2 linked regions of the Callithrix jacchus genome follow. Each later gene encodes a partner of the first gene's protein in a complex. Links are inferred from orthologs where the notes say so. Each region holds a gene or a part of one and is shown on either strand. Other genes may lie near its edges.

What was found.
Region 2: UBL4A (region 1) and GET4 share a complex: the UniProt entries of both Homo sapiens proteins name them as parts of the BAG6/BAT3 complex. The link is inferred for Callithrix jacchus from reciprocal best matches to the Homo sapiens genes UBL4A and GET4.

The regions. Positions count from the first base shown.
Region 1 is NC_133524.1:150,280,137-150,284,351, reverse strand, and holds UBL4A (ubiquitin-like protein 4A), read left to right. Parts: upstream 1-1,415; 5' UTR 1,416-1,438; coding exon 1,439-1,486; intron 1,487-1,683; coding exon 1,684-1,789; intron 1,790-2,016; coding exon 2,017-2,225; intron 2,226-2,318; coding exon 2,319-2,429; 3' UTR 2,430-4,198; downstream 4,199-4,215. Other genes in the region: SLC10A3 (P3 protein), read left to right, coding at 1-493. UniProt on the Homo sapiens protein: As part of a cytosolic protein quality control complex, the BAG6/BAT3 complex, maintains misfolded and hydrophobic patches-containing proteins in a soluble state and participates in their proper delivery to the endoplasmic reticulum or alternatively can promote their sorting to the proteasome where they undergo degradation.
Region 2 is NC_133503.1:58,122,329-58,125,828, forward strand, and holds part of GET4 (Golgi to ER traffic protein 4 homolog), read right to left. Parts: intron 3,233-3,500; coding exon 3,094-3,232; intron 2,040-3,093; coding exon 1,899-2,039; intron 541-1,898; coding exon 465-540; intron 356-464; coding exon 283-355; intron 1-282. UniProt on the Homo sapiens protein: As part of a cytosolic protein quality control complex, the BAG6/BAT3 complex, maintains misfolded and hydrophobic patches-containing proteins in a soluble state and participates in their proper delivery to the endoplasmic reticulum or alternatively can promote their sorting to the proteasome where they undergo degradation.

The DNA.
Region 1 (4,215 bases):
AACACTCCACGTGCCCATATCCAAGATCCTGGGGACCCTGCTGTTCATTGCCATCCCCATAGCAGTGGGTGTGCTCATCAAATCCAAGCTCCCCAAGTTCTCCCAACTGCTGCTGCAGGTCATCAAGCCCTTCAGTTTTGTGCTCCTCCTGGGCGGCCTCTTCCTGGCCTATCGCATGGGGGTCTTCATCCTGGCAGGCGTCAGGCTACCCATCGTGCTGGTGGGTATCACGGTGCCCCTGGTTGGCCTGTTGGTGGGCTACTGCTTGGCCACGTGTCTGAGGCTGCCAGTGGCCCAGCGGCGGACAGTCAGCATTGAGGTAGGGGTGCAGAACAGCCTGCTGGCCTTGGCCATGCTACAGCTATCCCTCCGCCGCCTTCAGGCTGACTATGCCTCCCAGGCCCCCTTCATTGTGGCACTGAGTGGCACCTCTGAGATGCTGGCCTTGGTCATCGGCCACTTCATCTACAGCAGCCTGTTCCCAGTTCCCTGAGGCCTCTGGGTCAAGCTTTCGTCAGTCCCAGCCTCCACACTCCACCTACTGTCCCCAGAGTTCTTGTGTACCAAAGGCCTTTAGTTCTCATGCACTATGCACTCAGAAAAATCCAGGCTTATTTTTTTTACTGATTTTTTTATTCTCCAGCTTTCAGTGCCAAGGAGGCCATGCTGAGTTAGGTAGGTGGGCACTGCCCCAAAAATATATTTCAATAAAAGACAGAAGCAAGCTTGGGTCCCTTCCAATCTTTGCCCTTTGGTGCCTGGGCTTGGGGGTAGAGTGTGCTGGGTAGGTGTGGACCAGGGTGGAGGACCAGCTTGGATGACACGGTGACCCATGCACAGGCTTTCTCTATCAGCCCTCCCCAGGAATGTCCCCATTCTGGGAGAGGTGGGAGGATGAGAGCAGAGGCCTGGCTCCCCTGCCCGCTCTCAAACTCGGTGGGGTGTTTTGCAGCCAGACCAGAAAGGAGGAGGCAGAAACCCAGCGGGCAGGGGGTGGGGGCGGGCCGTCTGTGGGTTTGCAGGGCCCGGCTCCGCCAGCTGTCAGGATATGTGGGGTGGTTCAGGCCATCCGCGGGGGCGAGCGTAACTCTTGGCCCTTCCTTCTCCATGCCCCAGCTCCTACATGACGCCAACCTGACCCGACGGGTTCTAGCTCCCAAATTCCCCGCACTGTGGCTTTGGGAAGGGTCCGCCGGCTAGGGCAGTCGCTGCGCGTTTGCGAGGCGGAACCCCAGGGGGACTCCTCCTCCCGGGGCGCAATTGGGGTGGGGGGCGTGAACGGGACAGGAGGGCGGGGCCGGGAAGCGCGGGCGGCGGGCGCGCCCCTCTTGCTGCTTCCGGCGGCAGCGGGTGGATCCGGCGCGCGACCGGGGCGGCGGCGCGCGGCGGGGGGTGGTTGGGGTGCGCGCCCGCCCGAGTGGACGCCGCCGCGGCCGCCATGCAGCTGACGGTGAAGGCGCTGCAGGGCCGCGACTGCAGCCTGCAGGTAGGGTCCCGGGGCCGGGCTGCCGGGCCCGTCAGTCGCCCGCCCCTAACAGGAGGACCGCCAGGGCCGAGGGCGGGCACGGGGCGGCCGGGCCGGGGGCTGGTAGCCGAGAGAGCCGCCCTCGGTAGCGGACGCGTGGGCTTCGTCGACCGAGGGCCGCGGGCTCAATCCCTGCCTCCCACCCTCGGCGCGGCCAGGTGCCGGAGGACGAGCTGGTGTCCACGCTGAAGCAGCTGGTCTCAGAGAAGCTGAACGTCCCCGTGCGCCAGCAGCGGCTGCTCTTCAAGGGCAAGGCCCTGGCAGGTACCCAGGGAGAGGAGACGCCCAGGGAGCCCCGCAGGAAGCGGGGCCAGGGTGCTCTGGCCGCCTCGGCAGCCGTGTGACGGGTCGGGGTGCCGGCGCCCAGCGCCACTTGACTCCAGGGTAGACGACCGCATGCTGCAAAGCTGAATCCCGCAGCCCGAAGCGGCCTCGTGTCCTGGGCCACCCCCACGGCGGCAGGGAGAAACTCATCGATCTGTCTTTGGCAGATGGGAAACGACTCTCGGATTATAGCATCGGGCCCAACTCCAAGCTCAACCTAGTGGTCAAACCCCTGGAGAAGGTGCTACTAGAAGAAGGCACTGGCCGGAGACTGGCCGACTCCCCACCCCCGCAGGTCTGGCAGCTGATCTCCAAAGTCTTGGCCCGTCACTTCAGCGCGGCAGATGCCAGCAGGGTCCTGGAACAGCTACAGAGGGTGAGAAGGGCAACCCTGGACATCCTTTCTAGGCCCAGCTGCTCCCAGCCCCCCACTGCCATCCCCTGAATCTTCCTGCCTTTCTCTCCCCAGGATTACGAGAGGTCCCTGAGCCGCCTGACACTGGACGACATCGAACGATTGGCTGGCCGTTTCCTGCATCCAGAAGTGACTGAGACGATGGAGAAGGGCTTCTCCAAATAGCATTCTCAGAGCATAGGGAGGTGCCCAACGCCAGGCCACGGCTGAACATCACACAACGTGTGTTCAGTTGCAGTTGGGCTCATAATAATAGCTGGCAGGTACCTGGCTCTGGCCAGGTGCTAGGCACCACTCACAGCTTGACCTGGGTTTGCTTCCACACCCTTGGAAGAGGAGAGCCAGCACAGCGGGGGCGACGCAGGGGAGGAGCCCCAGTTGGAGTCCAGCAGCTTCTGAAAGTGCCTTGATGTGACAAGGAGGAAGGGGCTGCTTGGAGAGCTGAGCTCACTTGTCATATTTAGCCCACTGAGAATATACACTCAAGCAACTCCTTCCCAAGCCTGAAAGGGGAAGCAGTTGTCACCTGACTTCTGGCGGGTCCAGCATTAACCCTCAGCTCACTGCTGCAGGAGGCCAAGTTGCAGCCAGCCCTGGATCCCCCAGCTGCTACAGCTAGTGAGCGTTCTACAAATGGAAAAGCAGGTTGGGGCCAGGGAGTGAGAAAGTCACCCCAGCTCTGTGATATGACTTTGGGCAAGTCTCAGTGCCACTTTGGTCCCCCGCCACAGACTCTATAGGGTGAGGGCCACTTCCTGATCTGAGTCAGTGTTCTCCGCCCTTACCCCAGCCCAGGGTGGGGAGTGTTAACAGTGCTCTTCTCCCTTCTGTTCAATAAACGAACTGAAGTCAAAAGCAAAGCATGGCCAAGTGTGACCCAGAGATGGGTGTCCTGGCCTTTGGTGACACAGCTCTTCTCTGGGGCACCCTGTCTGCTTGTCTCCTCCTCCAGGAAGCATTAGGGCTGATGGGTGACTCAGAAAGGCAGTGTCAGAGCTGGGACTGGTGTAGGCATTTATCCTCATCCCCAGCATTTGCCACCATGTGGAAGACGAATACATCCCAGCCATCTGTGTGCGGGGGCTTACTTCGTATGCTCCTTATTGCCTGAGAGGAAACCTTGGGGTGCCAAGGCAGGGGCAGAAGCATGGGCTGGGTTCCAGTTCCTCCTCCACCCTGCCCTGCGCATGGGCACTAGAGGACATTGAAGTGCCTGCTCCTTGGAGGAGGCCCCCAGGGGTGGTAGAGGCTGGAAGGAAGCCACAGGCAGGAAGACACCACTCCAGCCCCTCCACCCTTGCCAAGGGAGCAGCTCAGTGTGGTCAGGGCTGCACGTGCTGGAGACCCTCCTGCCTGGGCCTTGTGGGCCAAATATTGGGTCCCCAGGCTGGAAATATGGGCAGAGGCCGAATGAGTGAAGGCTCTGAAGAGCACACAAAAGCCCCTGGCCACCCACGAGAGCTGGAAAGCCATGTATGTGGCTTCAAAGCCATATGTGGAGGGACATGCTTGTGAGCATGTGTGGCCTGCAGCTCAGGTGATACATTTACCAGGGTTCTTGTTTGGTGCCAGGAAATTAATTTTGGAAAGTGAAATAACATTAAAGGTGAACGTGAAACTTCTACTTTTATCCAAAGGAGCTATATTAGCTAGGCTGCTTCTGGTATCCAATAATTGGTTTAAAAATAAAGGCAATTTGTTGAATCAGTACAGGAAATTTCTTGACTTAATGAAAGGAAAAGTCCAGTGGTGTTGGCATTGGCAGCAGGTGAGCAATTTCACCCAGTGTCTTCCTGCCTCCCTCTGCGTTCGTATCTGCTTCATCCCAGGCCATCACCTCCAAGGATGAAAAGATGGCTGCCTGCAGCTTGCATGGAATCCCTGCCTCACTGCCAGATGCCCCAGCAAATAAACACTCTTCTCATTGGTCACAACTGGACTGTGTGTCCAA
Region 2 (3,500 bases), on another chromosome or scaffold:
CTGGAAACCGGACAAGTCAGATGTTTCTCTGAGCACACAGCCAGCCCCACAAATCGACCCCTACCAGGAAGTGTGAGAAACCTCAGGGGCGGGGAGCTCTGGAGCAGAGACGGGGCTGGGAGGCACTGAGCTAGGATTCAACTCTGAAATATAATTTCCTACTAACAAAAGGAAACTGAGAAACATTGAAAAGAGCAAAGAACCACTGCTACGTGAAGGACTGCAGAGGACCCCACACTGACCCAGGGTTGCAGTGGGAGTGGCGAGGGCACCTCAGCTTACCGAGCAGGCCTCCGTAGGAAGATGTCTGCTTGGGCGGGACACCGAAGAACAGCTGTCCTATGCGGTCGAGGTACTGCAAGGCATGGGCAGCAGGTTCAGGAGAGGGCGGACCCAGGCTGTGGGGTCCCAGCTAGGGCAGTGCAGCCTTGAGGGCCCCTCCCCATTCCAGTCCCAGCCCTCACCTCGTTGTACATCGGGTCCCGCCGGAGGGATGGCTGGTACTGCTCACATAACACGGTGAACACCGTCAGCTTTCCGCTGGGACACAGGGACATAGGGAGATGCTGGGGGAGCAGGAGAGGGCCACACACACCTGCGCACACACCTACACACATTGCCACATCTACACCCAACACTTACCTACACATACACACCTACACCACCACTGCGTCTACACCCAACACCCACACACACACCTGTAACACCACTGCGCCTACACCCATAGAAGATGGCAACACGCACCTGCACACACACCCCTGCACATGCTACCATGCCTACACCCAACACTCATCTGGACACACCCACACAGTTACCCATGCCACGCCTACAACCAACACCCACACAGCAACCCATGCCACCAAGTCTATACCTAAAACACTCATCTGCACATACCCACAGCTACCTACACTGCCATGTCTATAACCAACACACCTACACACACCCAGCTACCTACACCAAGTCTACAACCAGCACACCTACACACACCCACACAGCTACCTACGCCATGTCTACAACCAGCACACCTACACACAACCACAGCTACCTACTCCACGTCTACAACCAACACACCTATACACCCACAGCTACCTACGCGTCTACAACCAACACACCTACACACACCCACAGCTACCTATGCCATGTCTACAACCAACACAGCTACACACCCACAGCTACCTACACCATGTCTACAACCAGCATACCTACACCCACTCAGCTACCTATGCCATGTCTACAACCAGCGCACCTACACCCACACAGCTACCTATGCCATGTCTACAACCAACACAGCTACACACCCACACAGCTACCTACGCCATGTCTACAACCAGCATACCTACACCCACACAGCTACCTATGCCATGTCTACAACCAACACACATCTACCTACGCCATGTCTACAACCAGCATACCTACACCCACTCAGCTACCTATGCCATGTCTACAACCAGCACATATACACCCAACCGCTGCTACCTACGCCATGTCTACAACCAGCATACCTACACCCACTCAGCTACCTATGCCATGTCTACAACCAGCACACCTACACACACCCACACAGCTACCTACACCACGTCTACAACCAGCACACTCACACCAACCCACACAGCTACCTACGCCATGTCTACAACCAGCACACCTACACACACCCACACAGCTACCTACACCATGTTACAACCAACACACCTACACACACCCACAGCTACCTACACCACCAAGTCTACAACACACACCCCCCACACAACTACCCATGCCACAGCTATACCCACCCACCCCCACACATCAACATCTGCACTCATCACATTGACACCCAACACCTGCGTGCACACACCCCCCCAGCTACCCACGCCACCACATCGACATACAACGTACACCCCCAGAATACTGAGACGCACCCATCCACAGCCAGCAGCAGGAACCAGATGAAGTTGAGCAGCGGCTCCACGAACGGAGGCCCATCCTCGATGGACGGGTGCTTCTGGGTGTACGTCGTGAAGACCACAGATGCACTACTTTTGTTTTTTAAACACAGAAACCTGGAAATGAGAACATGCTGGTGGAGGAAAGGCTGGAGGACACATTTTCCACCCGCGCAGGCACCAGCCTCTGACATGCCCTGGTCCTTCCCAAGCTCACACACCCACGGGTCTCACAGCCCCCAGCATGGAGGGACCCAGTGCTTCATGCGTGTCGCTCTCACAAGCAGGGGATCCTGGGGAGGCCAGCAATTTATAGGTGAAGAGAATGAAGCTTGAGAAGGTCATAAGGCTCCGGAGCCAGAACCCAGCTTGAGCCCCATCTGAATAATGCACTGAGTGAGCTCTTCTCTCCCCCGTTGCCCGCACCCATCAGATGATGGCCCACACCAGAACACTTGGCCACAGCCCAGCAGCTGGCGGGTGCTACGCAGACCCTGGCTCCAGTTTGAGGAGGGCCTACAGAGAGGGCTCAGTGGCCCAGGGGCGGGCTACCATCAATCCAGAGAACACATCTACGCAGTGCAGAGCCAGTGAGCTCTGGGTTTGACCCAGCTTTTCATTTAAGTCACGGACGCCCTCCTGGGAGAGCTCAGCAGTGGGCAGCACTGAGGTCAGAGGATGACTGTCCCCAAATCCCACATCAAATCCACAAAGCCAGTCCTACCCCAACGCCCGCCTAGAAATTCACATTTGTTTTGTGGAAGAAATGGACTTGGGCACACATAAGGCTTTCATGAGAAAGGAAGCGAGTGCCCAAGCTCAGCCTGCAGGATGCCCCAGTGTGCTGGCGGGAGGGCTGCAGGGTAGATGACTCACTGACAATTCTAAGAACTGGGAGTGCATTCCCACAGTTCACAGGCTGAGGCCGGCCGGAATAGAGCAGAGGTTACAGGGCCTCCCGGCAGCAGGTGAGAGGTGCACCGCAGAAAAGGGGGAGATTCCAAAATACTTCTTAAACTTCATAAAACTTATTAAAATTCATGAGTCACTCTGGCTGACACGTGCACTGCAGGTTCTGCCCGGAGTGAACTCAGTTTACGCTGCACCACGGCTCGGGCCGGGGACAAGGCAGCAAGGGAAGCCAGAACCCGTAGAGCCATCCGACACCTACTGTAGCACGGCCTGGGCCACAAACATGTCCACCTCGCTGCGGAAGCCCCGGGATGTGGAGTACTCCACCAGCATGTTGGCACAGCCCTCCCCGTCCGCTGAGTGCAGAAAATGATACCGTGACTCACAATAGTTTTGTTCTGCAAAGAAAAGACAGAAAAACTCAAATATGCTTCATGAATATAATATAGCACAGGAGATGGGGAAAGATGCATCCATGTTAATTCTATCCCACCTGCCCATGAGAAGAGCCCATGGAGAGCCCCGTAGGCAGAGGTGCCACCACAGGGACTCAGCCAGTCCACACCCCACACACCACCAAATAACAAAAACAGCGAAGAGCGAAAGCCACGCAGCCAAGCAGCCACGCAGCCACACAGCACCTTCTTTCTCCAAGCTCCCAGAGCT